Linked DNA regions of Schizosaccharomyces pombe. Changing the gene in region 2 together with the main gene of any one other region gives a genetic interaction. Each region holds a gene or a part of one and is shown on either strand. Other genes may lie near its edges. The genes, in order: dap1, vts1, erj5 and SPOM_SPBC651.04.

What was found.
Region 1: mutations in vts1 (region 2) and dap1 together harm fitness less than expected from each alone (positive genetic interaction), as found in Schizosaccharomyces pombe (one large-scale study listed by BioGRID).
Region 3: mutations in vts1 (region 2) and erj5 together harm fitness less than expected from each alone (positive genetic interaction), as found in Schizosaccharomyces pombe (one large-scale study listed by BioGRID).
Region 4: mutations in vts1 (region 2) and SPOM_SPBC651.04 together harm fitness more than expected from each alone (negative genetic interaction), as found in Schizosaccharomyces pombe (one large-scale study listed by BioGRID).

What each region holds. Positions count from the first base shown.
Region 1 is NC_003424.3:4,151,757-4,156,820, forward strand, and holds dap1 (cytochrome P450 regulator Dap1), read left to right. Parts: upstream 1-3,703; 5' UTR 3,704-3,716; coding exon 3,717-4,217; 3' UTR 4,218-4,564; downstream 4,565-5,064. Other genes in the region: inositol phoshorylceramide synthase regulatory subunit Kei1, read right to left, coding at 1-589, 679-738; Clr6 and Rpd3L histone deacetylase complex subunit Sds3, read left to right, coding at 4,783-5,064. UniProt on the Schizosaccharomyces pombe protein: Required for sterol biosynthesis. Functions as a positive regulator of cytochrome P450 enzymes erg5 and erg11. Function requires bound heme.
Region 2 is NC_003423.3:3,037,738-3,048,035, forward strand, and holds vts1 (RNA hairpin-binding protein), read right to left. Parts: upstream 8,274-10,298; 5' UTR 8,030-8,273; coding exon 5,888-8,029; 3' UTR 5,667-5,887; coding exon of another isoform or gene 4,065-5,666; 3' UTR 3,903-4,064; downstream 1-3,902. Other genes in the region: zf-C3HC4 domain-containing and GCN5-like protein cwf24, read left to right, coding at 4,065-5,666; F1-ATPase delta subunit atp16, read left to right, coding at 9,115-9,618; gpi14 (pig-M family mannosyltransferase), read left to right, coding at 10,243-10,298.
Region 3 is NC_003424.3:3,323,054-3,331,123, reverse strand, and holds erj5 (DNAJ domain-containing protein Erj5), read right to left. Parts: upstream 4,255-8,070; 5' UTR 4,227-4,254; coding exon 3,315-4,226; 3' UTR 3,185-3,314; coding exon of another isoform or gene 2,117-3,184; 3' UTR 2,096-2,116; downstream 1-2,095. Other genes in the region: U3 snoRNP-associated protein Rrp9, read right to left, coding at 188-1,762; geranylgeranyltransferase type 1 beta subunit Cwg2, read left to right, coding at 2,117-3,184; mug109 (Rab GTPase binding protein upregulated in meiosis II), read left to right, coding at 4,986-5,477; mns1 (mannosyl-oligosaccharide 1,2-alpha-mannosidase), read left to right, coding at 6,646-8,070.
Region 4 is NC_003423.3:1,241,025-1,249,274, forward strand, and holds SPOM_SPBC651.04 (uncharacterized protein), read left to right. Parts: upstream 1-3,745; 5' UTR 3,746-3,822; coding exon 3,823-4,536; 3' UTR 4,537-5,077; coding exon of another isoform or gene 5,078-5,197; 3' UTR 5,198-5,255; coding exon of another isoform or gene 5,256-5,894; 3' UTR 5,895-6,130; downstream 6,131-8,250. Other genes in the region: nit1 (nitrilase superfamily protein), read left to right, coding at 1-16, 74-210; GTPase-activating protein Gyp10, read right to left, coding at 800-1,921; ESCRT II complex subunit Dot2, read right to left, coding at 5,078-5,197, 5,256-5,894; protein mug166, read left to right, coding at 6,460-7,164; SPOM_SPBC651.07 (uncharacterized protein), read left to right, coding at 7,572-7,582, 7,668-7,897, 7,967-8,049, 8,111-8,250.

The DNA.
Region 1 (5,064 bases), on a different chromosome or scaffold from region 2:
GATTGCGTAAATAAGAACGATTGGCAGCCATAATGTAAGGTTTCATTAGCAAGCGAGTAACCCGGCCAGAAAAATTAGGAGGAAGATTTTGCGGGCGAATTCCCGAATCAACGATAAGTTTATTAGAGTAAGAAAGCGTTATCAAAACAAAATAAAACTTAAGAGAGGCAAAGAAAATAAGAAGCAACAACGAGGGAATGGACTCTGCCTGAAAAAATAGATACAACAAACTTGGTGAAGGATCGGAATCGGCTGATTCTTCAGTACTAGAAGAATCGGATTGAACGAGTTTCGAAAACCAAGAAAGTGCAAATAAAACAGTGAAGAGGACGTTCAAAAGAAAATCAATTAAATACACATAGAAGAGAATTAGTGCATGAGGAACGCTTGATTTGGGGATGTGAATAGCCAACCAAGAAAAAAGAATGAGCATCAAAACCGATGATACATACATGAGAACCTGCCATGGCGACGCGTCGGAGTTTTGAAAAAGGGATACAATGCCGTAAAGACCAGAAACTTTGTTGATGATAGCAAACCATATGATAATCTCGCAACCAACACGAAGACTACAAAACCCGAGGAAAGACTAATGAATTAGTACAAATCAAAATAGAAAAGAGCAAATGACAAATACATGATTAAAACATCGAAAAAAGCTGGAAAAAATAGACATACCTTTTGAATAAAGATTTTTTCAAATAAAGCGGACCAATTTGGACGCCGAAACAATGCCATAATGAGAAAGCTTACAATAAACCGAATAATTCAACAGTTAATGACAATAAGGAAAAGAGAGAAGAGAGCTTTAAAAAAAATAACGGAATGAGAAACAGAAAGATTTTAGGTGTTCTACACACAGGAAAGGGATTTACCGGATACAATTAGAAGAAATATTTTACGCAAGTATTAACGGAAACTGCAACCAACATACGCCAGGCACAGAGAAATATTAAAGGTTTATGAATACCAGTTAAGACTTCTTTCGTAAAGAGAAAGTTATTAAAAGGAAAAGACCTACGCACTTAACCCAAATACACGAGATTATCGCCCTTTTTCTCTTTCTTGTTAGCGTAGGCTTTTAAAGTGTAATAAGTGAAGCGGGAAAAAGAGAAAGAGAAAAGGAATAGGATTACAATGTAAAAAATCGAAAATTCAACACTTTCTAAAACTTTTCTCCAGCCTCAGTGTTAAGATTGTTTCGTTTCTAGAATGGGCTAATCGCTTGTTGATGGACCGGGCAATTAGAGAAACAGCGAGGGCATTGCTTTTTATGTGGTAGTAGAATGGTAATCATCGTAAATTGCTTATACAACATCCGGTTTGCTGCGCTAAACTAAATAACGAAAAGGAATATAACAACAGTAAATGATCTGGTGACTTCGGGGGTTGGGTTGGAGTAGGCTAAAAACGTAATAGATCGGTGTTATTAAAGGATTCAAGAAAGCATTGAATGTGTAGCAGCATATTCTTTTAATTATTTGTAAGATATTTTTTTTGATTTCATGAAAGAATACTGGAGATTTGATTCACGACTGTGGATGATGTTTACATATACTATTAAACATTGATTAATTTTGTAGACTAAAAACAGTAAACAACGTTATCAGCTTCAAAAAGTTTTTAAATTTGAATTAATAATTTTTTTATCTTAATAAATAAAGCTATACTACCAAAATTCTTCAATAATAAAAAAACCCTCAATCACCTACTACCGTCCTTTAATTACACTCTTCATCGGCTTCACTTCCTCGCCGAATCTTTGTTTACTTGTACCATCGGTGTTTATTGATTTTATTCGGCAAAATAATTCATCAAAGAAGAAGGGCAACACTTGTATGATTTCTTGGTATGACTGTACATTGGAGGAAATAATGACTGACCTGTTTTTCTTCTTTTTTTTTTTTTTTTTTTTTTTAAAAATTACCGGTCTTACGATACATTCACATCTACCGCTTGACAACAGCTGCAAATTTCATTACACTTGGATATGTAAGATGGTCAATAAAATCAAACGATTTTCTTAGGCTAGTCAAGTCATACTTACACAACAAATTGTCAAGAAAAATTACCAACCATCATCATATAGACACTGTATATAAGCCTTCGGTGAATATTTACACTAAACTAGCCGAACAATTTTTCCATAAGAAATATTATTTTATATTCAATTTAATCTTACAGCTCCTGTAAATAGCCGATCGTTCAAGTATATTTTGTATATTTATTTACTCGATTAATGGTATTTGTTTACTTTAATAATTATTATTAACGGAGATAAAAAGGTTCCTTTCTACTACTAGTCAAATACATAAGCTTCTTTAACAAAAACAAACCCTCGATTATGTAGAACAATGCTTGCTGCTATATTCTATAGTCCATCAGCATGAGCGTTATTTCTGATTCATAATGGTTTACCGAGAGAATTAATGGTAGCAAAATGACCTTGGATTTCAGGAGAGCCGATTCCGAATAGTTGGGATCTTGTTTGCTAAATCGAATGCTTAATTCTAGTAACTAATCCCATAACGACTGTTAGATTATCAGAATTTTCTTATTCTGTTCATTCGCTTCAGGTTAGGTTAATGTGACTGCTTCGTAGTACCGGATGGAAATAATAAAGGTTGCATTTTCCTTAGTTTATAGCCTACCCAACGCACACAAGTCAAATTGCTTGCAAAAGAAATTTCCACGTTTGCAAGTGCCAATGATTGTGCGAAGACTATTGCCTCTTTTGGCATGTAGTCATCTTAGTACTCTTTACTGCATTCTTCAACTTTGTGAAATTGCAGTGAGTCGGTAGGCTACAACATATTAATGTAGTTGCTAGGTAGCTTTATAGGATGAACGTGATTAGCTTGATGATATAAACTAAGACTTGTTTTACCATATTTAAATAAAACTTTGATATCAATCGATAATTCTACTGAAACGGAAATAATGTTGGAGAGTAGTGAGATACTAGTTGGTAATCTAGCACACAAAGCAAGTAAACTAGTTGGTTTAAAAAAAGGATAAATTTAAATCGTAATGATACTGATATATTGCTAGTTATATATAAAGCACTTTTAATCATAGTCTTGAAAGGTTTGCATTTTGTACGAGTGGAAGCATACTATTTCAAATGATATAGGCATGCGTTCGACTCATGCTGCTACCATGATGAACACGAGCCAGAAGGCTCAATATTCTATTAAACCCAGCTCTTTGAACCAATAGTTGTGAAACGAGAAACAAGTTCTGAACAGCAGTTTGTTTAAACATTGTTCGTGTATGCCTGGATAACTATGCTGTTGAGAAATTTTGTTTTTTTTACTAAAAAAATGTCGTGCGACTACGATTTCTCGCTTTGTTGAATAAATCAAAACACCATTACGCAGACTATACATGCATAAAGAGTATTGTAACCTTTTGTAAGATTCTTGTCATAGTAAATAAGATATGCTATGTTCCATTCTGTGCGTATATATGAGCAACATAATCATTGATATATAATTACATAACTAACCAAAATTTTTAACTTATGCTTTATTACAGTGCCTTTTAAACAGTTTATGTGTGCAGAAAACGAGACTGCAATAAACATATTCTCTATAACCGTCCGTATATAGTAATGTACCATGGTAACAAAACTATCGTACGTATTCTTCTAAGCAGGTAGTGCGAAGGTTTTGAGAGAATCATGCGACCAGTTGATTCTTCCATAAACCAACACCATGGCATCTACACAAGTTGTTTTTATAGTAACCTTATTTCTTTATTTGCTAATCACTCGCTGGAGAAGGAAGAATGAGAAATCTTTTATTGCAAGCGAAGAGCCAAAACAGCCCGAATGGAGAGATTATACTCCAGCAGAACTGAAGGAATATAATGGCTCCAAAAATTCATTGGTTTTTCTTGCTATCAAGGGAACTGTGTACAACGTTACAATGGGATCAAAATTTTATGGTCCACAAGGCCCTTATAGTGCTTTTGCCGGTCATGATGCCAGTCGTGGTTTAGCAAAAAATAGTTTTGACGATGAATTTATTCCTGATTCAGATGCAGAAGAATTGGATGATTGCAGTGATTTAAACGATGAGGAGAGGCAGGCTCTAAACGATTGGAAAGCATTTTTTGACCAAAAATATCAAGCTGTTGGCAGGCTGATAAGTCCCAGAGAGGCCAGAGCAGCAGCTACTATTTCAGAAACCGAAGAAAAAGTTGCGCATAATTAATAGCGACAAACCTGTTTTTTATGACTTCTTTCATGCTTATGGGTTTATGATCTTTTCTTTGGGATAATCTAGGACAAGTGGTATACGTTCCGCGTCCGAAGGATCAATCTGTAGTATTTGGGTACATTTGATGATGTGTTATGAAATTACTAGAAGCATGATTGCTTTCAAAAATTATCTTGCATGAAATAGAGGCTCTTAAGCAATGTTGAAAAAAGTCCTTGTAGCAGTAATTTTGGTGCCTTGATAAGGTTACGATAGCATCTTTTAAAAAACATTGTATGTCATTTCCATGTTTTTTTTTGACAATGAAAACTTAATAACCATCTGTGTCTTCTATTTTGTTGTAACATATATAAATGGTAGTAGATGTATGATCCATTTTGAAGAATTATTGTAAACCGTTGTTCATCTGATAATTATTAGCACAACTTTTCTCGTTTAGATAACTTTATTTCGTATTCGGAGAATCTTACCCTTACCCTTAAAATCCTTCGTCAGTAGCTGGAAGAAGGACAAAATTGTTTTGTCACGAACAAATAGGTGGTAAAAGAGTTAAAGCGTCATGGACGTCCTTTCGAGAGTCTTTGACAATGAAAAAGAAGAACTGGATCCTTTATTGAACAATCCACTTACAGCTAGTGAGTTCCGAGCCAAAAAAGCAGAACTGGAAGCTGAATTGGAATCTATTCGTAACGGAACTTGTAAAACTCTTTTAGATTTGGCAGATGAACTTAGAAGGAGTAGAGATGAGGAATTGGAAATTGCAGAGCGTTGGAGAACGTTTTTGGTGAATCGGGCACAAGAGGAATACGAAGTGGAGATGAAAGCAGCCAAGGAGGAGTAC
Region 2 (10,298 bases):
ATGTCTAGTTATCTTTTGCGCTAAAATACAACTCATCATATATATAAAACATTGGAAATACCTGTAATCCGAACTGCAAACTACGTACTAGATAAAGTTATTTTAACGTGTTTTAACGAGTTGTTGCGATGTTTGTGATATTCGTAAGAAAAAGAGTTGACTCTAAAAACTACTTACTGTGTCTTTAAGGGAAACACGTTCACGTGTTTCGTTCTTCTTATATTTATTAATCTAATCCTAATGAATTAGGATGGAGAAAGAAGATAAATCATTTGGTATTGGAATGTTGGATTACAATAGGGAAAACCCAGAGTCTTCTGGCCATAGCAGAGTGGCAGTTATTCGAAAACAGAAAACTGAACAGGAAAATAATAACTTGAGCTGGGAAGATAGGCATTACATACCAGACCTCCATAAGTCAAATAAAATCAAAACGCCAACTTCTCTTGCTGATGAGAAAAAATCCCACAATGAGTTGGATCCCAAAGCTCAGATTAAAAAGCTCATGGAAACCAGATCAGGAGGGACTTATATCCCTCCGGCAAAACTTAAGGCTTTACAAGCACAATTAACTGATGTAAATACTCCCGAGTATCAAAGGATGCAATGGGAAGCCCTTAAAAAGTCCATCAACGGATTAATTAATAAGGTTAATAAAAGCAATATTAGAGATATAATTCCAGAGCTCTTTCAAGAAAATATAATTAGAGGTCGTGCTTTATATTGCCGCAGCATTATGAAAGCTCAGGCTGCCTCGTTACCTTTCACCCCAATCTATGCTGCTATGACAGCGGTTATAAATACAAAATTTCCGCAAATAGGTGAATTACTATTAACTCGTTTGATTGTACAATTCCGAAAGTCATTTCAAAGGAATGACAAATCCATGTGTATCTCATCTTCTTCATTTATCGCACATCTTATTAATCAAAAAATAGCACACGAAATTGTGGGCTTACAGATTCTTGCTGTTCTTTTGGAGAGACCTACCAATGATTCTATAGAAATAGCCGTTATGCTTCTACGAGAAATTGGAGCCTACCTAGCTGAAGTTTCCACTAGGGCTTATAATGGTGTGTTTGAAAGATTTCGTACTATTTTACATGAAGGCCAGTTGGAACGCCGTACGCAATTTATTATTGAAGTTTTGTTCCAAACACGTAAGGACAAGTTTAAAAATAACCCCACAATTCCCCAAGAGTTGGATCTTGTTGAGGAAGAAGACCAAATTACGCATTATATCAGTTTAGATGATAACCTTGATGTCCAAGAGTCATTGGGTATTTTTCACTATGATCCCGACTACGAAGAGAATGAGAAAAAATACGATGCTATAAAACATGAAATATTGGGTGAAGAGGATGACGACGAAAACGAAGAAGATGAAGAAGATAGTGAAGAAACGAGTGAATCTGAAGAGGACGAATCGGTGAATGATGAAAAACCTCAGGTTATAGATCAAACAAATGCTAGTCTTGTCAATTTACGGAAGTCTATCTACTTAACAATTATGTCTTCTGTAGATTTTGAGGAATGTTGTCATAAATTACTAAAAATTGATCTTCCCGAGGGTCAGGAAATTGAACTCTGCAATATGGTTATTGAGTGTAACAGTCAAGAACGCACATATGCGAAATTTTACGGTTTAATAGGTGAGCGATTTTGCAAACTATCGCGGACTTGGCGATCTACGTATGAGCAATGTTTTAAAAACTACTACGAAACTATACATCGATACGAAACTAATAGATTGAGGAATATCGCATTATTTTTTGCCAACCTCTTGAGTACTGACTCAATTGGTTGGGAAGTATATGACTGTGTACGTCTTACCGAAGACGATACCACAGCTTCTTCTCGAATATTTTTAAAAATAATGTTTCAGGAAATAGTGGAAGCTTTAGGTCTTAAGAGCTTGGTAGAAAGATTACACGATCCTAATTTAGTGCCTTACTTACATGGCTTGTTTCCAGTCGATGAAGCTCGTAACGTTCGTTTCTCTATCAATTACTTTACTTCTATTGGTTTGGGTGCATTAACTGAAGAAATGAGAGAGTACCTCCTTACCATGCCCAAAAGCGAGCCAAAGGAGCAAGATAGCGAAGGTTATAGCTCTGGATCCGAGACAGGATCAACATATAGTTCCTCTTATTCTTCCACATACTCACGTGGGAGATCATATTCTCGGTCAACTCGGTCATACTCGAAAAGCCGTTCTTATTCTCGCTCCCGCAGTGTAACCCCTATCAATAATATAAATCATAAAAAATACATTAGAAAAGATAGAGAATTATCTCCTCGTGGGAGAGAACGGTCATCAAACCGTAACTCTTATTCTGATCTTTCCAGGTCATCATCATTGTCAAGGGGTCGCTCACGCTCTTACACGCCGGAGGGAAGATTAATTGAATCTGAAGATAAGGGTTATCGTTCTCGTTCTTCTTCACCTGCTTCACGTAAGTATCGCTCGCGCCAACGTTATAGACGTTCATACGCTGGTTCTACAAGCAGAGGCAGGTCCTTTTCTCGCTCACCCTCCTACAGAAGAAGGTTGAGTATGTCATGTTCAGTTTCATACTCTAGATCTCCGTCTCCGCTGCACGCCCTATTTCTCGCTCTCCTGCTAGGAATAAAAGATCTTATGACTCTTTATCATACAACCGTCAATATTCACCAAAGGTATCTAGAAAAAGGTCTAATGAATCTAGGTCACCTTCACCTTACACTCTCCGGAAGCAAAAAACATACCACTTGAATAAGAGGAACGAAGACTTTGTTGTGAAGATGGATAAAAAAGGTTCTGAATCACCTGTCATATTGGCACCATGGTTGCGTGAGGTTGATGATGGCGAACTTTATAAAGACAGGAACAGTGAATCAGATAGTGTTCGTAAACAACCAAGGGCTGATTAAGAGTGATTAATGGTTCATCTTCAAAATGCAAATTGTTAAATGTGATGTCTTACTCTTGTCGTTTTTAAAAACCTAACGTTTGGAATTTTATCCATTGAACTTTTGCTTAACTCAAAATAGTTTTGTACCATAATGAATTATAATAAAAGTTGAGACACGCTATGAGTTTGTATAATTTCCTACTAAACTTTATTCGATTTCAATTCTGTAAGCATACGCTATTTGCATTATAGGTCTGAGACCATGATTGTTTGATGTGATATAATTCATAAGCCGTTGAAACAGTACTTAGTAGCTTGTTCATCAATATTGCAGATTGCAAAATAATTAGAGTTGGATGATAAATGATAATGAATTAAACAAGAATGTAAATTAGATCGTCGTAGCAACGGCCTCTTCATGTTAACAATTTCTAGTAAATGGCAATGCTCTATACGTTTAAATTGAAAATAACACCCCCATATCTCAGCCTTTTCTCATAATCTCCATAAAATAAAATAAAAATAAATATGAAAAAATCTCTAGATGTGTTTATGAAGTACCGCTAAGCAATAAATTAAAGGGAACGCTGTGCAAACACGTATTACATTGAAGGCTGTATATATATGTTTAGATTGAAAATATTAGTCATTACTATAGTAATTAAATTATTAAGACTGATTACTGTCACAAAAAGAGAACTATACATTCTTAATAGAACTCAACGTTTGTTTTGTGCCTCGTTATACTATATAATCTTAAAAAGTAAATATAAATACCTATATATTATTAAAAAATATATCTACCTGAATATTACTAAAGCCCAGATTCGGTGGCCACGTATTTAGCTTAGCAGCTTTCTAAAATTTATATATTTGCATTTCACTACAAACTTCTTCTATTTTTGTTGTTTTATTTTATTTATTTAAGGGGACACACGTTTCACAATTTTGAGCAAACAGCAAGCGCTAATATTGATTCTACTAGATATCAGAATTTTTGAAGCACTTGTTTGGGAACTGTTTTAGTGACTATTAATTGTTTAAACTATTATAGTGGTTCTATCTTGGAATTTAAATAGGGTCTCAATTAAAGAAGAATTGACGACGTTTCTATCTTGAATTTGATTTTTCAAGTGTCTTGGTCATTAAATTATCTTTGCCATACATCCAATGGAACAAAAAAATTTAAATATCAATCAGGCTTCAGGTTCAAAAATCAATACCGAATTAGCTGTTCCAATTTTTCAAAGCCGTCGGAGACATCGCCCCAGACAAGGACTGAAGCGTAAAAAAGGATTCAAACGAGATGATGACTCTGGAGGCAGCAGTGAATCATCAAATGAAGATATGCGGGACAATATTCCAATTGTTTCGGGAAGAAAAAAAACCGTTCGCTTAAATCGATTGCAAAGAGAATCCGAGCAATTCGAGAACTCTGCTTTGAAAGATATAAATGTTGAATATCAGTCAAATCTAAGCGCTACTGGTGAGTCCGTTAATACTACAACTGTTTCGGCTATCAACGAAGATACGAGAGAGGTCATTTTAGGTCGACCTTCTCCGAAGTTAGCTAATCAGTCTACTCTTCCTACTGAGTTATTCCAGTCACAAAACGATTACTCTAGATTTTTGCCTAAAAGGAAAGATTTTGAGAAAAAAAGCCAAGTAGGGCCAGTTTTATCTTCCAATGCTTCTACTGTCCGTATGAATACAATTATTGACTACCAACCCGATGTTTGTAAAGATTATAAGCTCACTGGGTATTGCGGTTATGGAGATACTTGTAAATTTTTGCATATGCGAGAGGATTACAAAGCTGGATGGCAACTTGATAGAGAATGGGATTCAGTCCAGGAAAAATACAAAAAAGGAGCTAAATTGGAAGAAGGGATGGTAAAAAATGAGAAAAAAGAGGATATACCTTTCGTCTGTTTAATTTGTAAAAAGGATTACCGAAGTCCTATTGCTACCACTTGTGGTCACCATTTTTGTGAACAGTGTGCCATAACTAGATATCGTAAAACACCGACATGCATCCAGTGTGGTGCAGATACTAAAGGTTTGTTTTCTGTTGACAAAAATTTTGATCGGCTTTTGAAAAATAGAAAATCAAAGAATGACGAGGCGGTCAAGCAAAAGGTTGGTGGTTTCGAAAGTAATAATTCCGCAACTACAGAAGTTTCGGAACGTAAAGATCGTGAAGCTTCATTTCAAGGGTTTGCAGATACGTTGGCAAAACCAAATACATCGGCTCAACAAAAAATGCCTAGTTTAGGTGATAATTCAAATACAATTATTTCAAAGTATTTTATAAGAGAGATTACTGAATCCAATATAGTCCATTTCAAACGCCTCGTTCGTGTCGTTTTAGAGGCTTCTTATAGTGACAAATTCTACCGCCTAGTTCTCAAAAATCCAGATTACGCCCGCATTGCAACATTCGAAGACAAATTCGTTGGAGCCATTAGCAGCCTTGTTGCAGAAGATAATTCACTTTACGTAACAGTCTTATGTGTTCTTGCCCCTTACAGATGTCTGGGAATTGGAAGCTTATTAATTGATCACGTCAAAAAAACTGCCATAAACAATAATATAGACAGAATTTCTCTTCATGTACAAACAACAAACGAATCAGTTATTAAATGGTATACTGCTCATGGATTTAAGATTGTTAAGCAAATCAATGATTTTTACCGAAGGCTAGAAAACAAATCAGCTTTTTATATGGTGTGCCCGTTAAGTGCTCATAATAATATAATTTCAAATCACTAAAATTCACTTATATGTTTATATTACAAAAGCGATGTCAAAGACAGTTTGTAAAATTGGTTTAAGCTTTTAATATTTGATTAGTCCACCTTTTGGCTTAAAATAAACAACAGAAATCCTCAAGCAATGAAAAAAGTATTGTCAAATATAGCGTAAAGATAAGTGTCACTAGATGTGAAACAAAAATATCTAGTTCAGTGTCATTAGTTAATGATAAAAAACTCTCAGTCCATTGATGAACTAGAAACATCCTGTTTAGTTGAATTCGAGCTTATTTCGTTAGACATGCTCCCACTTGGAAGATCCTCCGAGTCAGTATGACCTTTGAAGCTCGTTAAAGACTCCGAACTTTGGTTTTTCGCCGCTTTTAAATTTTCATTCATTTTTTTTGAAGATACTAGCGGTGCAACTTCCTGAAAACTTTTCAACAGTTTACGACGAGCACCCAGTGCCATGATGCCTCGATTTTGCAAATCGAGATCACTTAACGAAACCAAAGCATCCCAATCCGTATCCTTTAAATTATTGGTATACTTGTGTAGGCGCAAACTTCTGAGCCAGCTCGGAATATCTTGCGGAAGCTCATTACCAACATGCTTGTCTGTGTTTTTAGAATGTGAAATCGATTTTCTGGTTTTATTAGATCCCCGTGAGCTTCTACGGTATGTTTGGTTCTTTGAATTATTGGGTGGAGTCTCTATTTTTTCAACTGAACTAAACGGTTGATAAGTGTAAGGAAGGGTGCAAAGGTGCATTCCTACGGGTGTCGAGATATTAGAATTAGGATCTATAGGATTCGTTAAAATCGTATTGGTAGCATGCATCTGTTGAGGTAAACCAGAACCAATTTCGTAATGATAGGGCTGAAAGGGAGGAGTTGAATTGAAATTGTTCAAGCAAAAACCACTTCGTCTCCTATCAATTTCAGAACCATGAATCAACGAGGGTAATGTAACCGGAGTAGTCGAATGTGGAAGTTCGTTGAAATAATGTTGACGATTCAACGGCGTCGATGGTTGCCCAGTTGATTTCTCAACACGAGCATTGACTACAGAATTTAGGTCATTAGCAGAAGGTACGTGCTCAAAACGAAGGGAAGATGATAAAAACGGTTTACCTTCTGTAATGCTAGATCTTCCTTCAGTTCGAGTTCGAGGTCCGATTTGGTTATTACGGTAAAACAGATAAGGCTTATCGCCTAAAGGGCGAGACTTTGGAGAATGGTTTAATAATTCAGGAGGAGGTGGTGGTGGAGGCGGAGAATAAGATATATTACTCCATCTCGAACGAGAAGACTCATCATTCAAATGTGGTGAAAATCCAAGTGGAAAAAAAGGAGCAGGAGGAGCTGAAAAAGCTCCTCTATCACGAGAATCCCAAATATTATTATGAGGAGTTTCAAAAAAAGATGTATTAGGTTTTGATGGTGTTGAATTTGACGGTAAAGACTTTTTAGATGCAGCTATTAAAAGATCAGTGGTCTTGGATGTTTTGCCGGTGGAATTGCTGGTTAAAGAAGATGTTACATTAGCATTAATTGAAGTCCCATTATTAGAAGGGGTAGGAGTATTCCGAGGACTCGTAGAAGCAGAAGAGGCAGGCGGCTCAATGGAGGAAAATGCTAAAGCCTTAGAAAGGCAATTTTTGGAAGATGCCTCACGATCCTGCGTGAGGTAAGTAGATGATACTGAAGATGTACGAACAGGAATTGGCGAAGCCGTAGAAAGAGCGTTAGAAAAGCCATGCTTTGAAGAAAATGCAGGTCCCTGGGTGGACGCGGGAGTCACCATGTTCAAATTTCCAGACAAGTTGGATTTTGTGGTCAATGAAGGAAGTGAACTTGAAAGGGAAGGTGAGTCACCTTTAGGGGACGAAGGGAGAGATTTGTCTAAAGATAAGCCAGAGTTTGAAGGAGAGGACGTAAGGCTAGACGACAGAAGTGTAGATATTTCTTGAGAAGGAAGGTGATGCAAAAGAGTCCGTAAGGTCGTCAGTCGATCTTGGAGACTTAAGGATTGAAACCAGCTTTCAAGAGTTTTCAGACGAGTCAAAAAGGATATACCAGGCTTATCAGCTCCTAAATACTCATCGAAATGTTCCGATATTGAATCTTCATTCTCTTCGGATAGAAGCTTACCGGCAACTTCTTGAGCATTTTTTAAGGTTTCGTTAGTAGACATTTCTCCAGTCGACAGATTAGAAGTGTTTAATTCTTGCTTCAATTTATCTATGGTCCTACTATTTAAAAATCGCGTAGGATAGTTTTTACCATCTACCAACGAGACAGCTATAGTTTGTTTTTGACGTGAAGATGGAGAATCAACAACGTCAAGGCACGTCTTCCGTCTTCCTTCAACCACTTCCATCTAAATCAGGCAGTATAGATTTTGAAATGAAAAATGGTCGATAAAAGAAGATAAAAGTTGAAAAAGTAGTTGATCCTAATGAACCTAAGTTCCCCCTCTAAACTAACTCCTTATAATCAAATCTGCCTCGCTGAATCTTCAAATTGATGAGTAAAAACAAATGATAAAAGGAGATCCCTAGGAATTTAAAAACGACCAGCGTCGAAGCAGGGATCTTTGTTTTGAAAAATGACTACTAGTTGGTGGAAGGAGGAAAGACGGATAAATGTTAGTTCGGGGTCCGCTATATTTAGCGATATGCAAGCCAGTATGCCAAAAAAATAGTTGATTTTACACTTGTTTGCAGAAAATGTTAGTTCTTTCAGATATTCTTGTTTACTGAATTGCATAAAATATACTATGTTTACTCAGACATCTAAATTGGTCTTCTCTTATTTTCTTACTCACGATTACCACTTCAGCAAATGGCTTCGTAATGAATCTACACGTGCAGATGCTATGTTTGCTTTGTAATTCGTTGTCCAATAAACTGAAACATGTTTATATTTGCTTTATATTTACAAAATCAGGTAAATGTTGTAAACTGTATCTACATGTCTATATATTCAAATCAAAAGATTATTACCAAGTAACTTAGCCATTGTACAAAGCATTCAATAAATAAATATATCCGGAAGATTCAACTTGGTGATTTTTTCGCGGATTTACATTGTAGTATATAAACAACTTGTTATTTAATAATACAAAGAATGACTTACTTTTGAGGAAAAGAAGAAGCCTATTTTTCTAATGTAATCATTCATCTTTATGGAATTAAGAAAGTTATCCACTTTCCTGTACTTTACGAGTTGCTTTAAAATTCATGAACTTAAACTGTTGGCACATCACTTAATCATTTATTGTACAACTTGAAGAATTTTTTTACTTTTAAAAAAGTATAGAATATATTTGTTAATCGTAATTTCTTTAAAATACTACTCGTAGAACTATTTGACAGCATTCACTTTTCCGCATAGTTATTCCCACAGTCAGCGAAGCAGCATCACACCCCCCTTAACCCACTCAATACTCCGAACAACAACATTATGTTTCGTTTATCAAATTACATGCTGAGAAAATCACAATTTCCTCAAGGTTTAGTACGTGCTCCTTTTGGAATTCGTGGTTATGCCCAAGCTGTTCAGAAAAATGAAAAATTAGTACTTTCCATGGCATTGCCATACCAAACCATCTATGAGAAGGTTCCTGTAACTCAGGTCGACATCCCTGCGGAAGATGGCGAGATGGGTATCCTTAAAGATCATGTTCCCATGATTCAGTGTCTTAAGCCAGGAGTTATTTCTGTTACTGATGAATCCAGCAACAAATCAAAATATTTCATTTCTGGAGGATTTGCGGTACAACAGCCTTCTAATGAACTTTCTATCACCGTTCCTGAAGCTTATAAACTTGAAGACTTTTCTTCTTCTGTCGCAAATCAACTTCTTGAAAAGCACAAAGCTGAGATGAATTCTTCTGATGAGGGGGTTGCTGCCGAGGCGGCGGTTCGAGTCAGTGTTTTGGAATCCCTCGTTCGCGCTTTAAAATAAGCTAGCAATATTTCTAGTTGGCTGCTGATTTTACAGTTGTGTACATGAAAGTAAACAGGTTATGTTGTGATTCCTTCATAGTGTACACTCTTTTTCGAAAGAACGAAGTTTATAAGTTTGGGGATTTATTACTAGTGTCTTTTCTCAACTGATATCAATAGGTTTTGTTCCAACATATGTTTTTAGCTTCAATCCCAATCCCATCTCTGATTACGAATACATTTAACAGCAAATACAATTATTTTTTTTTCGATGGAAATTATGTTTTTCAATTATACTCAATGATTACATATTGTGTAATGTATTTTACCAGTAGATTTAAAGCGGTGTTTTTCATGCACCGATTGCAAAGTTTTGTCATAGTCATTAGCAATTTTGGCGACTACATGTGAATACAAAAATCTCTATCACAATTTATTTTACAATAAAAGAAGCTGAAAACCCTTAAAAGCCGAAAATTGTTATCTCAATCCAATAACGACTCAAAATTGCATTAACTCTGCTATTGACTTTATTTACTACCCACGCCGTAGCGCACTTTATTTAGTACCAAACATATTGCATGCATGTTGACTTTCCGTATGCTTTTAGTGCATAAAATTCGAAAATCATCAATCACATATAATGATTACATTCCTTGAAGTATTTGTTTACTTCTATTTCTTCCCGCTGTTAGTCTT
Region 3 (8,070 bases), on a different chromosome or scaffold from region 2:
TTCCTAATAAATCCGTATTTTATCTAAACTTTTAAATTAAATCCAACCCAAAATTCCGTTCCATGAATTAAAATTTTTTGTACACCAGGAAAAGATAAACACAGTAATAAGAGATCCATCACATCTGCTTCATAACCGCTTATATGAAAAATAATGAAAAGCTAAGTTCTTTTATTTTGCAACTTTACTACTCATCAATCTCGTCACCATCTGTAACAGAAGGAATAACCGTTAAAGGGATATTAAACACGAAGCCTGAATTAGGGATGCCCCGCAAGGTTTTCCAACGACCAACGCGAGTTTCTCTTCCGCAAGCAGCGAATACTCTTACCTCTGATTGTTTACCTTTTCCTTGCAAAGAAAGTGAAAGGGAATTGATGCAGCCATAAACTGACAACGGAGTAGCGATTGTTAAAGGTTCAAAAGAACGAAGGCCTTCCGCTATCTTCCATAAACGGATGTTTCCGTCCCAAGAACCAGAAGCAAATAGATTGGAGTATGGGATAGCAGCCAAACTAGTGATCCATCGAGGTTGAGGAGGTATAGTGACAGGATCTGGAGACGTCTCAGCGGAATGACGCCCAGGAGCTAGAATGGGATCTAGTCCATGAGCAAGTGGGTATGTAAAAAGAGGCTTCTTACGTTGAACAGACCAAAGTGCAATAACTCCATTATCGCTTCCAGTAACGAAATGGTCTTCATCAATCATTGCCACACAATCCACACTACCTTCCATATAGCCTGCAGTTGCTTTCATAGAAGTACCTCCACTACGAAATACCAGTTGAGACTCCTCAACAATTTTCCACAGACGCGATGTCCGATCTCTACCACCTACACTGACACATCTTTCCCGAGCTAATGCATCCACTCCAAAAATAACATCCTGATGTCCAAATAGCGTTTCAATATAAGACATTTGATCCAAAGACCATACCTTGATGGATCGATCAGCGGAACAACTAAACATTTCATTGGTTCCTCTTCGCATGGCTAATCCCATTACTGCGTCCCGATGATGTTTCCAACAATGTTGAGGCTCAAGTGTCACACTATCACGAATGACAATTCGATGGTCCAAACCTCCAGTAACGATCCAACGACCATCGTTGCTAATTGCTAGGCAAGTGATTTCTTTTACATGATCGTTCTCTCCTCTTCGGCTGCGAGAGAATTTGATCGGTCTGAAGTGCAATTTTATAGCTTTCCCAATTTCATGATCGTCATTTTCCCTATTTTCAGTATCTTTTTCTTGCAAAGCTTCCCATTTTTGGATCAAACCCGATTTATCAGCACTATAAACAAAATTTTCGTATGCTACCACTCCAACTAGCGGACGCATGTGACGGCCTCGCAGCTGAGCTGTTTCGATTTTTACATCAGGATTAATTTTAGAAGTATAGTCTAAATACATTTGTCCCTTCTTTTCTAATACGTCCTCCTTCAATCGACTTGCAAGCAATTCACGATCCACTTCTTTCGCATCGAAACCTCCATCTTCGACCAGTTCGTTCTTGACCTCGTCTAGATACTCCCTTGCTAATCGAAGCCTTTTTTCTGCTGCAGTCTCATAAGTATCTTCATTTTCCTCATCAATTTCGTCCTCAAAGCCATTGAATTCGGATTCTGATGATATAGATGCTAAATCTTCATTAGCGGGTCCATTCCTCTCCAATTTTTGATTCTCTTTTTCTCTTTTTGAAGTAGCACTCCTAGCTTTCCTCTTTCTATGCTCTGGACGTGTAAAGAAAGGATCAGACATGCTTTCTCTAAGGGTACCAACGGTTCGTAAATTTCTGTATCTTCAAACACCTATATGGTATACTGCCGGTGACTTAATTTTATTCTCCGAGCATACTCCACAAAAAGTCCGGTGATCCATACAAGAAATTTCCGAAGTTTACCGAGCTAATTCACCGAATTTCTTTTCATGAACAAATCATTACAGAAATATATCTGCTCATTACTATAAATCAAAATACCTTGTCGCGTTTTTTTGTTTTTAAGCTTAAAATAATTATCGTTCTTGTACCAATTTTGTTCGATAGATTTTTAAGACTTACTATTCTATTGACATCTATAGAATTCTGCTATCGGCGCATCTATTTATGGTCCAATGGAATTAACAAGAGCTAAACATATTGCTTTCTTTAAGAGACATCTTATACTATTTCCTACTCCATACGAAGAACACGATTGCGAAAGAACAGTGTTAGCATTCTTTTGTTTATTAGGATTAGACTTGCTAAATGCATTGAACACCATAGATGATGACGATAAAAAAAGTTGGATCGAGTGGATCTACAAAAACTATGTAACGAAAGAATCTAAAGGAATCAAATACTCCGGTTTTCAGGCGTATAGAACTGGCATTCAACCCATCTCATTCGAACAGGAGCCGCAATTAGCTGGGACTGTGTTTTCAATTTGTTGCCTTTTATTTCTTGGCGATAATCTTTCTCGTATCGACCGCGATTTAATTAAGAATTTTGTGGAGTTGTGCAAAACTTCGCAGGGTCATTTTAGAAGTATTGCTGTGCCATCATGTTCGGACCAAGACATGCGACAGTTATATATGGCTACGACTATTGCTTCGCTTCTTGATTTCTCTCTGTCTGACCCTTTATGTTCTATCCAATATATTAAAAGCTGTCAACGCTATGAAGGCGGATTTTCTTTGTTACCATACGGCGAAGCCCATGCTGGAGCTACATTTTGCGCGTTAGCATCATGGTCTTTAATATTGAAAATGATTCCAAATTCCTCTTTGAATACTTCTAATCAATCATATAACTTAATGGATTGTGTGCCTAAAGTAGAACGCCTTATCAGATGGTTAGCTTCTAGACAATTATCATCTGGAGGATTAAACGGAAGGACGAATAAAGACGTTGACACCTGTTATGCTTATTGGGTTTTGAGTTCATTAAAACTCCTTGATGCTCTGCCTTTTATCGATGGGGGTGAGTTGGAAAAATATTTATTATTGCATGCTCAACATGCTTTGGGCGGATTTTCTAAAACACCAGGTGAGTTTCCTGATGTTTTACATTCTGCACTTGGTCTATATGCAATGGCTTATCAAGATGATAAGTCTTTTCCTAAAGTAAATGCAGATATACATATGACTTCCAAGTATATAAACATTTGTAGAGACTGTATTCAAGCAGCCAAGGGGAAATGATAACTATATTATGATGATGAATTGTCGAAGAAAACTAAACAATAGACTATTAACTTAGAAACAACGTGATCAATCACTTGACTATAAAAACCTAAAGACACTCTAACAATATAAATTTGACTCAGTAACTTTAATTTTCTCTATTCGTGTTTTTAGAAAGTGGAATTCGATTTGCTCGTCTTTTCATTCGTCGCTTTCCGGCTTTTATGGAAGCCTCTTTCTTCGAAGGACTGGAGAAGCTAGATTTATGGACACTATCACTTTTCTCTTCATCTTCCATCTGTCCATCACTATCCGTATCTTCGGACGATGCAGGTGCTCTTGCAAACCAGCGTCCAAAGGCGTTCCAAACTATAAATCGGGGAAGACGGTAGAAAAAGGTGTCAGATATTTTAACGCTTGCAACGGAATCTGGTGAAACTAGATATTCTATATTGGAACTGGGATCCAAAATACACACTTGACCAGTTATGGAATCGACTGTATATATACGCCTTCCACCGGGTACTTGTACAATACGCTTTGAACCTCTGGCGGAAGTTGCATAAGACTCGTGTTGTCTAGCAATGTCTATATGATCCTGCATGATTTTCTTTTGCCGCTTTGAACTGATTACGAGCATAACGAAGTGTGCGATGGAAATGAGAAGAAACAACAAGACGAGCACAGCACCTAAACCAGGGCGATATCTTGAATAAAGATAACCCGTTCCCTTCCATCTTGGAAATCCATTTTTAAGGAAATAGTCATAACGTTTACGCGTTTCAGTGTTGCGAAGAATGTTTACGATCAGCCCTAAAAGCGTATACAATTCTTTACTTTTTGGATTCTTATCTGGATGATAAAGGATGCTCTTCTTTCTGTACGCTCTATTGATTTCTTTAATAGAGGCTTTTGTAGGCACTTCGAGTAGCTCATAAAACGTGGCCTTATTCTTCAAAATTGACTTTAAAGAATCAACAACTCGAAAAATTTCAAGGTCGGAAGAGGTCCACGCTAAGCAGACTCCAAATAAAAGCAGTAAAATAAAAATTCTGCTCATTTCCGCTCTATTTTGCAACCCGAAGGTTAGGTTCTTGGGTGATACGCGTTCGCTAACCTATTTAAACAAACGCTGAATAACGAAGTATCAGTATTTTTATCTTTCGAAGGCTGGTATTAAAACAAGGTTGGGTAAGAAAAAAATTACGATTTTAAGGGTATTTATAATTTTATTATTTTTTTTCTTTTTTTTATTTCCGTCTATGAAATTACGCTCTCTTGTGTGAGGAAAGGTACAACCAAAGTTGCTCAAGAAATTTTATGGAACGATTTTTTGAAAGAACTTAACATTGACGGGAAATGGCACTAGCGTAGCTATGTTTTAACAGAAAAATTATTATGCTAACACGTTTCTCGTGTTTTATTTCTAGATACAGACTATGAAAGCGTTGGTGGTGATGGGCAAATAGGAACCAGATCCGGCGACGCCAGTACAGCTTGTAATTCTCTCTTAATTATTTTTTTGTTCATATTTCTCTGAAATTTCTAATTTTTGTTTTGCATTTCGAATACCTGCAATTAGGCACCGGTGGACTAGTTATCCTTGAAGAGTAAATGGTTTCAAATTATTTTGAACAAATTTTGTTTGCGACCATACTATTATATTTACCTTATGTTTTTTCATATGATTTTGATTAATGTGAATTGAATCTACGAAAAGTTGTTTACGGTAGCGATTAGAGAATGTAAACAAACCATCGATGGGCGCCATTACTGGAGGAGCCAAAACGTTTCCCATTTCCACACATCAATCTTCCTGATGATGAAGTTAGAAAATAAATTACACCGAGTGCTATGTTCATTGCACCAGAATTCCATATCCACTCATAAAACATATGTTGCGGTAGCAGCGCAAGATGAATATGTACGAATGGGAAAGGTCTCTTTACCTCGTATGTATGCTGTTAAACCCAGAATACAAAAGAATTTTCAAGACAATTATAGATTCTATGGAACTTTGCTTTGTATTTGCTGGCTTTATTTCTTCATCTGGTACCCATTTGCTTTGTTAGCTCTAATGGTTGGTGTTTTTCTAAGTTTTGTTATGCATGGCTTGGGAAGCTTGACCATTAATCAAAATATAAGATTAGATCCCAAGTATTCCATCCCTGGTGTTTGTGCTGTCACTCTGATCGTTATTATGTTTCTCGCTCCAGTAGGACGGTTGTTTTGGTCATTCTGTATCGTGTCAAGCTTTGCTGGGTTACATTGTTTATTGACTACTTATGAGAATCCAGCGGGTATATTGTGATTTTCCACCAAGTGCCTACTTTTTATGAATACAAAATTCACTGTAAGCCGTTAGACTTAATGCTGTGCAAATCCACAGGATGCTTTTCTTCACTCATTCCTTTATAAGTTTTTCTACGATCATCTACTTAAACTTTGAGCATTTTCTTTACGGGAAACAAGAAGTTGATAAAACGTATCGAGGTTTCAGCTTTTAATCAGCACTGATACCCTACTTAACATTGTAGGTGTAAGCTGGAAGAAACGATAAAAATGTTATATTTTTTCCCAAGGACTATATATACGTATTTGTAAATAGTTCTTTTTCAGAAGGAGTGTTTTGAGCATGCAATCAACATAGTTAAATCAATTTACACATAAACACGTAGGTGAGCAGCCTTATTCTTCTACCAATGCTTCAAGTTTAAGTCACTAAATGGATTATAGAATAAGTACATCTTTAAAAAATGCTTAAGTTTTAATGATTATTTCGAGCTTCGAACCTGTAGATTTTAGAATGCGATGGTCATAATTGAAAATCAACAAGCACTTTTGTTTAATTCATAGGTTATATAATGTCTACCCAGAAGTTCAGGATTGAGAATATTTGGGAATTTTTAGATTGACATCTGAGGAATCTACATAGACAAACAAACATACGTAGACCAAAGGTTGAGAAGCTCTTATTGTACGAATAAGTAAAAAAAGAAAATTTAATTTTAGATATTTTTACAAACTTCGATTTAGATGTTTTGTTTGATGGTTAGGGTTGATTCACAAGAATGCACTTTTGTATTACTGGCATGGATTCGCTAACCTCTGCCAACTACTGCTTCTTTGCTAATTCAAGATCGGTTTTTAGATCTTGATAAGCGAATACGTAAAAATATAGCTAATTCATTAAGTAAAATTATGTTCATTTTCTGACTGAACATTCTTGTGAACGATTATCTTTATATTTGTGTGCAAGCTTCGATTTTGACGGAAAACAGGTAGATTTGAAAGAACTTCGATTTTATCATTTACCCCTTGTCAAAACTTTTGAAAATTTGAGAAAAAACTGATTGTTTTCTTGACCGCAGTCATTTAATTCACAAGTTCTGATGCTTAAATATTGTGGTTAACTTATCCTGTTATTTTATTATATTATATCGATTTTAAATTTCTTATTCTTTCTATTTTTTTTAATAATGGTTAAACGAAGGACTGTCAAATACTTTCTTCGTCGAATTTTGGCACTCTTTGTATTATGCGTTCCAATATATTATTTATACACGACTGTCCAACGACCTCCTGGTTATACCAAACTTAAAGGCTCCACGAGAAGAAAAGCGCTGATTAAGAAAACATTCATAGAAAGCTGGACAGACTATGAAACTTATGGCTGGGGTAAAGATGAATACTATCCTATTATTAAACGTGGACGGAATTACCTTAGGAAGGGCATGGGCTGGATGATTATTGATTCCCTTGATACAATGATGATTATGGGCCTTGATGAACAAGTTTTACGTGCTCGTGAATGGGTTAATAATTCTCTTACTTGGAACCAAGATGACGAAGAAGTTAGTGTTTTTGAAACTACTATTCGTATATTGGGAGGACTCCTTTCTTCTTATCACTTGTCTCAAGACAAACTATACCTAGACCGCGCAGTGGACCTAGCTGATCGTTTGCTAGCTGCTTATAATACCTCCACGGGCTTACCTAGATCAAATGTAAACCTAGGAACTCGTAAATCTAGAAAAAGAACTAGAGAGTATTTCGTAAGCACTGCTGAATCCGGAACTGTTCAGATGGAGCTACGTTATTTATCCTATCTTACTGGCGATCCTAAATATTGGATAACGGCTGACAAGACAATGGAGGTGTTGCTAGGAGATGCTACTTGGTCTCATACTGGCTTGGTTCCTATTACGGTAAATTTGATTACAGGCGCCTACGTTGGTCGAAATATTCGACTGGGTTCTCACGGTGATTCCTACTATGAGTATTTACTGAAACAAGATCTTCAATTATTTTCAAGTGGTACAGTATATAGGAAAGCGTTCGATTTGAGTGTTGATGGAATTATTGAATATCTCCTTAATTATACTACTCCTAATCACTTTGCCTACATAGCGGAACTTCCCGGTGGATTAGAACACGCTCAACTTCCAAAAATGGATCACTTAGTATGTTTTTTACCTGGCACACTTATGTGGGGAGCAACCAACGGTACTTCATTAGAAGCAGCACGTACTTCCAAAAATTGGGGTACACGTCAAGAACGTGATGTAAAGCTGGCTCAAGAACTTATGCGAACTTGTTATGAAATGTACAACATGACAGCTACTGGTTTAGCACCTGAAATTGTGTTTTTTGATGTTGACCAGACTAAAAATGAAATTTATAGCAAGCGTCGTGACCAACATAATTTGATGAGGCCAGAGACGGTAGAGAGTCTGTTTATTCTTTACAGAATAACGAGAGATGAAATATATAGAGAATGGGGATGGAACATATTTGTTTCATTTTTGAGATATTCTCGATTGCCTGGCCGAGATGCATTTACATGTTTGGATAGTGTAGAGTCGAAGAAGGTTAAAGACCAAAGGGACAAAACCGAATCATTT
Region 4 (8,250 bases), 1.8 Mb from region 2:
ATTGTTGACCCTTGGGGTATGTCATTTTGACAATTTTATTAGGTAAAATAACTTGAAATTCTAATGCATCTAGGTACTGTTATTGCTCAATACAGTGATATCTCTTCTCCGAATGGCCTCATTTTTGCTGACCTTGATTTGAATCTTGTTGACCATGTACGAACTTATATTCCACTATTACGTAGAAACGATTTATACCCGACCATTTAGCACTGTTATACAAACTGAGGTGATTTCAATTTAAATTAAAGAGAAAATTTTTTTTCGGCTTGTTTACGAAGTATTCATTATTACTTACGGATTTGCAAGATTAAAGCCTGAATACTATGAAAATAAATTTGCGACAATTAAATAATTCCATAAAACCGTAAATTACTGAGCGCTCGATATAGTAAACATAATAGAATCGAAGTGGAATGCAAAAAGTAAGTACTTATTTTATTAATTAATGCATAATTTATATATGTATAACGATTAGGCATCATATAGGAAAAGTGCAATACACAGACAAAAAGAAGAAAAATTAAAAAAAATAAAAAGAAATAGACTTCTTACAATAAAGCATGAAAAATCATTAATGACTGCACCTTCAGAATCACTTTGATTCAAAAGTGTTGTTTTGTGATTAGAAAAAAAGTTAAAATAAAAAACAAAATATAGTCCCTGCGGAAACCCCCCGAACATTCTTTCCCATGCGTGGAAAGAATAACCGTATTATAGTAGTATTTGGAATATAAATTAAAGGACCCTATTCAATTTAGGATCTTGCATGAATTAGTAATATTAAACGATTAAAATACTAAGAATTGGATGTGGACTTTGGAATAAGTTGAGATGCGACAATACCGATGCCTATTACAGTAATGGCCGCAAGCATGTTGCAACCATTGAATATGTTTTCTTGAAGAAAAACAGCAGGAACCTTGGTGCCAGGCTTGTGTTTTTCTTCCTGCAATTCAGCGAGTTGAAGTCGAAATAAAAGCAATCCATTGGATCGAGACATATATTCCCAAGGATCGCCAGTATTACGAAGACAACTGTACGGAGAAATTTGGTATCGGTCCAAGGGTAGAGAAGAAAAGGGTACTGCTGATATAGTTGCACAGGTATTTTTAATTAGTTGATTTACGTTAATAGACGCCGGAAGTTTGCACAAATAGCTATGCAATAAATCAGCACCAGAATTATCCCATAAAAGCTCAATAATGGAAGTACGGTTATCAAGCACAACCTGAGCACACGTGTACACGACGGTAAGAGGATGAGAAGAGATGAAGAAGTCAAATAACCTGCATACCACCGAAATGTCTGAAACATCGTGTGCAAACCAAGTGATTAACCATGAAAGAGCAAAATAACACTGGATATCTGCCTTTATTAAATACTCATAAAGAGTGGGATCGCGAGCCTTGATAACTGCTAAAATTAGCTGCAATTGTTTCACCGTGCCATCAAGGGTAGGAAGCATAAAGTCCCGAAGACGGTAAAATACTAGATGCTCCATTAAAGGGAGAGCATGAGAGAAAGGAAGGGTAAGAAGCAAGATCTGGGCAATATCATGAAGACCTTGATAGTAGCATAGTTCCGGATAATGCTTAAAGACTACACTGAGCAGCTTGGTCAATTGAGAACGGTGTTTACGAAGTAGAAATGGATTCAACTTGTACTGAAAGAATGATCGTTCCGAATCCAAATGAACCTGATTCTGGTCGGCATAAGAAGACTGAGAAGTAGATCTCGAAAGACACTCCATTCGATGTCGACACGATAAACCACAAAGACTGACCCATACAGACTTGCGCAGACTCTTCATGAGGAAGCCATGTCCTTCTTTGCCAATGTGGGAAAGTGTTTCGACATCAGAGTTCAATAATGCAATTTTGATTTCATTTTTTAGTTGTTTTATCTCCTTCTTCTTCATCTCATGAGCGAAATCGCCACTTCCCTTAAGGGAGAAATATTTGAAGAAGAATATTTTTGAAATTTTGAACTGAAAACTAAATCACACTTTGCTTAGGAATCCTGAAATCCTTTAATCTCAGGCCTTTACTTTTTCATAAATAGCTAAATTTTTCTTTAATAAAATATCTCGTTTGGCATCTAAAACACCGTTTTATAAAGGATCAAAAAAGTTGGGCGCAGTTAGTGGTCTGTGGGTTGATGTACGTACCCACTTAAATGGGAAAAAAAAAATCAGAAGATGAAAAGGAACACAATGAACAACTGCGCCGAACACCCTCTCGACAACCTTAATAAAAGAAGATCTTTAACAACTTTAAAAAGAAAGAAAGAAAGTAAATTTAAAATTTTATAAAAATTCTTAAACGAAGCATTTTTACGGTTTTTTTTTTTTTTTCGAATATCGTTAGTATTATTACTATACCATCTCCTTATGAAATTTTTTTTTGCTAGTTAATATATGATGGCGAAGTAAAGTAGAAGGGCTTTTATAAATAGCTGTAAAGTTCAACAGCATGTGTGTCAACTCATAAGGAGAGACTTCCATCAAATCAAACAAGAAGAACTTTCTTTATTTCTTCTCTTTTCTTCTTTTCTTTTTTTCAAATTAAGGAAAGAATATCAGTATGCACTGCCGAAATCGTTATGTTACTATTAGATGGTGGATTGTACAAATAATAAAATTAATATCCGTATGAATATTTGACAAATGAAACAGTTCCCTGCTGTAGATCCTGCGGGTTTGTTTAGCTGTCATTGTAAAACGATTGCGGATAAATCTTCTTTACTTTCCCACCAAATAATGCTATATCCAAAGTATCAAAAGTTTTGTGCGGGTAAGTCGTTAAAATAACACCATTCCTCCAAAAAAATAAATAAATATAATATAAAAAATAAAACGAACCCCTTCAAACGAGGGAGAATACTCTCCTGAAGATGAACGAATTTTGAAAAATTTTTCTTATTTTTTAATTAAAATCTATTTAATGGTATTTGCTGAAAACTCGATTTGACCCCAAGCAAATGTTGAGACATTCATGTAAAAGAAATTATTACGAAAAAGAAAAAAATAAGCGATGACTTAAAACCATCAGTAATGAATCCACATGTTAAAGTAGCGAATACTTAAGCTTGATAAAAAGAATACCTAATTCTAATATAATCCTAGTAGGAAATATTAATATAAATTTTTGAGGTGGCTCTTTTATTGAAGTATCGCTTCATTTTGTATTAGTTAAAATAGGCAATACATCAATCTATTTAGCTTTTAGATTAAAACTACATATTGTTATATTTCAAAAATCCGTGCTTAATTCAGTTGGGCTTACTATAATATTAAACAGATAGTTTCTGGATTTATTTTGAGTGGAATGGCTTGTTTCAGATAGAAAGGATATGATTTGAGAAGTGTGAAGTTAAGAATTTACTGCTTTTGTCTTAAAAAGCATACTCAAACTTGCTGAAACATATTTAGGTCTGTATTCATGATGAATCTTAGTTTTCCCAATTTATTTCTCATCATCTACCAGCTAAACCCAGCAATCTGAGTGAAAAGGTATCTTCATTAAAAACCTATAATCGTGAAAATCATATTGGAATGTTCTAACATTTATCAAACAACATCCTTTCTGTTTACAGCGAGGTTTCTTGTGTTGATTTTGCTACTTTAGATAAGTCAGATCAAGGTAACATATTTGTGGGTCAGCGATCTGATAACTACAGATGGCTGGTATTCGAATTTTCGTTTGGATTAGCAAATTTGCTGCTTAGACCTATCTTTCCTCTTACCGCCTCTCCGTATACATTGTACATCCCATCTTTCATCGAAAGCTTTTGAGTATATAGACAGGCAAAGAGCTTTGAATGAGTTCCGCTGAACTCGGAAAGCTACATATTTATGCCTCTCCTGAACAATGGGAGAAGTGGAGTCCCCGTTGGAAAAGTATCGTTTTTCGAACGCAATATGAATCGATTTTCAAAAATCCGAAACACCATGGGGAGAAAAAACCTTTTCATTGCCTCTTCAAACTCGCTGGAACTATGAAGAGTATCTCTTTATCGCATTTGGATATTCCAGAGCATCGCATGAGCAATGCAGTAGCTTTTCCTATCACTACTTCTACAACCCCTATGCAATTAGATGTCACCTTACAATTTCGTGGGCACAAAATTCCTCTTGTAGTCGGAGAAGCTAGTGTTTCCTTGGAAGATATTTTCACTCATGGAACTGTTGAAAGCGTAATACCTTTATTTATGAAAAAAAGGCATCCCGAGGCATATCTTAGGATCAAACTCGTTTATACGAGGAGTAAAAGAAAGAGCGCCAGGAAACACAAAGTTCCTTCTTCCTTTCATCGATTTTCTGGTCGACGTGGTCTTGGTATACATTACAACCATTCTGGTTCTCAGAGCAGCTTAATAACTTTACCTTTACCTCAAAAGCAGCCTGATTTTTTACGTATGAATAACGATACTAATGAGCTAAAAACAAATGGGTTTGAGCCTATTCGGTTTGTATTTACCACTACTCCTTATTCACCTGCTTCCTTTGAGGTACCAAAGACCCTTAAAACTTAAAAAATGATTGTTTTCTTCCAAGGAATTTCCCTTACTAATTAATTTTGTTTCCATTTTCCAAGGTCCATACAACTTTGCGTCTTGCTGTTTAATATGACCTCCGATTCTATTCTATTTTATTATATTATTATTATTCTTAAATTATTGTTGTGTTGTTTATCACTACTTCCCGTTATTTCGAGCTCTTCTCTTCTTCTTCTCCTTCTTATACCTGTACATATTATCTTTTCCAGTTTCATACTTTATGTCTCTCCTTTTTTCGGTTTTCGTGCTTCAGTTTCTTTTACTTCTTAATTCTTCTAAACCCAAACTTTTTTCTCAAACATATATACATATATATATATATTACATATTACGTTTTCTTCATCGAATTCAAAGTTTTATTCTTCATTAGTTTGACTTTTATCACAGCGTTACTAGATGCTTTTACGAATTAATATATAGACTGGCAAAATTAAGCGTAGGGTTGACTATCTATGAACGGTTGTAAACAAGCAGGTCAACCTCCCCCAAAATTCTAGGTAGTCTTGATAAAAAGGCATTAGAAATTTTCGTATAAAAACCTTTGCGCCTGGTCGTCGATAAGATTGCTTGCACCCCAATAGGCCATCTCCACCCCCTGGGAGTCAATCCAGAGTAATGATTTTGAAACTAAATCATTCTAAATTATTTGGTTAGTCGCAAATGTTTTGAGATATTTTTATAATTTAACTGCGTACCAATACTTGAATGCATCTGCTACGCTCCCAAGCGTAATTGTCCCGTAAAATAGATATTGTTACATAGCCCAATATCTCTACAGCCTCTAAAACAACATTTTGGTCGGTGTTGAGCTCTAAAGGAAGGGACCGGATATACTGTTTACCTGCAATTTTTTCAAGAACAAAGCCAGGGCCAAGTGGGGCCAAACTATCGACAGCTCGAACAACGTCAGTCTCTCTTAACCATTCATGACCAAAGGCTTCATTTTCTTCATTTAAAAAACGACAAACTTGGCTGACCGATAAGAGGCCTCCATTCTCCATTTGAGTAGCATAACAGACTTCGATTACTCGTACAGCGACCTGATAATAGAATTCGTTCATGCCCACGGCCGCCCAAGCTGACTCATCAGAACCACTAACAAATGGATCTAAACCAATTTTCAAAGCTAACTTAACAAATGTATTTCGAAATTGAGAGTTTTGTTTTATCTCAGTGGCATGTTCTCTCGCAAACGTCTTCAGCGCTTCCTGAAACGTCGAGAGTTGAGATGCAATTTCATCGGACTGCTGTTCAATAAGTTCATTTCCTACTTCTTCATACTGTTTTAGATATTCATCGTCGTTCAAAGCTCCAATTCCAATTCTTTTACGCATCGGCCCAACCGAACATTGCTTGTTTCAAGCGCACAATCTTTATGATCGAGGCTTTTAATTAACAAGTAATTTCGAAAAAATATCAACAACAACGTAATTGACCAGTTTCTACAATTATTCGCGAATAATAGTCCTCTTCCAAGATCACAGGAGTTGTGTAGAAGAGCAATAACAACCTGCTTAGGAGAATAAACCATCCATTAATTATAACAATAGTAAACTAACTAGCTCATGAAAAGAATGTAACTAACAGGAGCGTTACATTTCATTATCTAGTATACCAAGTTATTTCCTGCTATATTAGTAAACTATCTTAAATTAGAATATCGTATAGCAGCGCATATTCAGTTTTTTAACGCACTTAACTGGACTTCCTTATAAAGTTGTTTATCACATTGTTTAGCTGCGGTATTTTCTTGATTATAGACTGGTACCACCACCAATAGTGACTAAGTGTAGGCCAGAGATTATTTGGTGCTAAAACCAACTACTTCTTGGGACTCTGCGAGGCTCGAGTAATTTCAATCGTTTTTTTTTATTTACTCACATTCAGGGTGCTTTGAAGATGCCAAGGAGAGCTGTACTTTTCCGTGGCAATTCATTCATTTCGTTTTCGTCAATTTCCTCAGGAAACGAGAGTAGCGCCCATGGGGATGCTTCACTTGGACAAGCAGATAAACCCTTAACTGTCGACGTTTTAGATGCTTGGACCACTCAATTCACAAAAAAGCAGACCAGGGTCTTTCATGAGGCATATGTAAGCGCTTATATCGATTTGCAACAAAAATACGCTCGACTTGAACGACTTCAGGAGCAGATCCTTAATTTGGAAAGATCGCTGTTAAATTATAAATCTTTAAAAAGTAACTCTACCACAACGGTGGCGACAGTTCCCTCCGAAAAACGATATTTCTTCCGCCGCAAACCAAAAACTTCTTCAACTACTAATTCTCTCTCTTCTTCTTCTTCTAGTGTCTCGCATATGAATCAAGATGCTAACCCCAATAGCACCGTATTGACCTTTACTGCTGTTCCTTACGATTCTTGTTTACCTGCACCAGACCGACACACTCCCTCTAGTGCATCGTCTAGGGCGAGTGAAACGGGTACCACAAGCCCACAAAGTATGAGGAACCAAATTAGCCTTCTTTACTCAAAAGTCGATCAAGTCAAAACTGAAATTGCTTCGGCACAAGCTGTTATGCATGATTTGTTGCGCACTTATCCTGGCAGTGAAAGTTTGCAACAATCTACTCATACTCAATTTTGATGCCCCTACACAAACAAAAACTCTCTCTATTTTTAGTTTTCTGTTTTATCTGCGTTTTCTCTTGAAATGAATATTTTTTGTTAAGTTGTATTTTAGAGAATTCGATTATCGATGGATGTCCATTGATGAATCGATCGAAAGAGTCCCATGAGACTTTTTCTTTAATTGTTTTACCCTTTAATAACTTGGAAGCATTCACCAATATATATTTGTTATCGTCTTTTCCATCGAATCTTCTGTAATTCACCTCTTTACCTTTTTCCAGCAAGCCTTGAACTTTCGTTACTTGGGTCGTTACTTTATACTGATGTCCTCTAAATTAATTTCGATCCACTTACTTCCCCATCTCTTTCAACATTTACACTTTCTGACTATAGTAAGTGTTTAATTGTAAAAGAGGTTACTCCATGATTGTAATGTACGTTCCTCAATAAATGTTGCTGTACGGACATTGCCGTAACAAATTCAGTCAGTCAGATATATTTTTCTAACTAAAATTGAAGTGAGCCGACAATACTTTACGAAGCTGCTGCTTTATACACCCGTTATACTGCAAATGGAGGCGATTCTAACGACGTTGTCGCGTTATTAGTAGGACCGATCGTTCAGACATTATCTATACCTTCTTCAACATCTAGTGCACCGCTTGTCACTTCAGTTCGGGAGATTCTTGAGCTTGCTTGCAATGATGCTGTGCTCGACAAGTCGTTTCTCAATGAAAGATTAGAACACTGTATGATCAATAAGCATCACTTCGCTTATGCGCGCTAAGCATCATTTTGCTAATCCGTAAACCAAATAGGCAAACTTCAAGATTTTCCTTTAGTGGGATGTTTAGTTTTGGGAAACAGAGTGGATCATAGGGTTCGTTCAATTGCTCATCAGGTACGGTACAATGCTACTTCGTAACCAGTTCTTTGAATTATTTTGTTAACGCTTATACTAGTTACAAGAAGCTACCGCCTTTCCCTATCTTATGCTTTTCCCATCCAATTTTGACTTGACGCAATTGAAGTTGTTCCGTCTCCCCGATTTTAATAATAAGGATCAGTTTTGGAAAGAAGAATGGTCGACAGAACAATATGA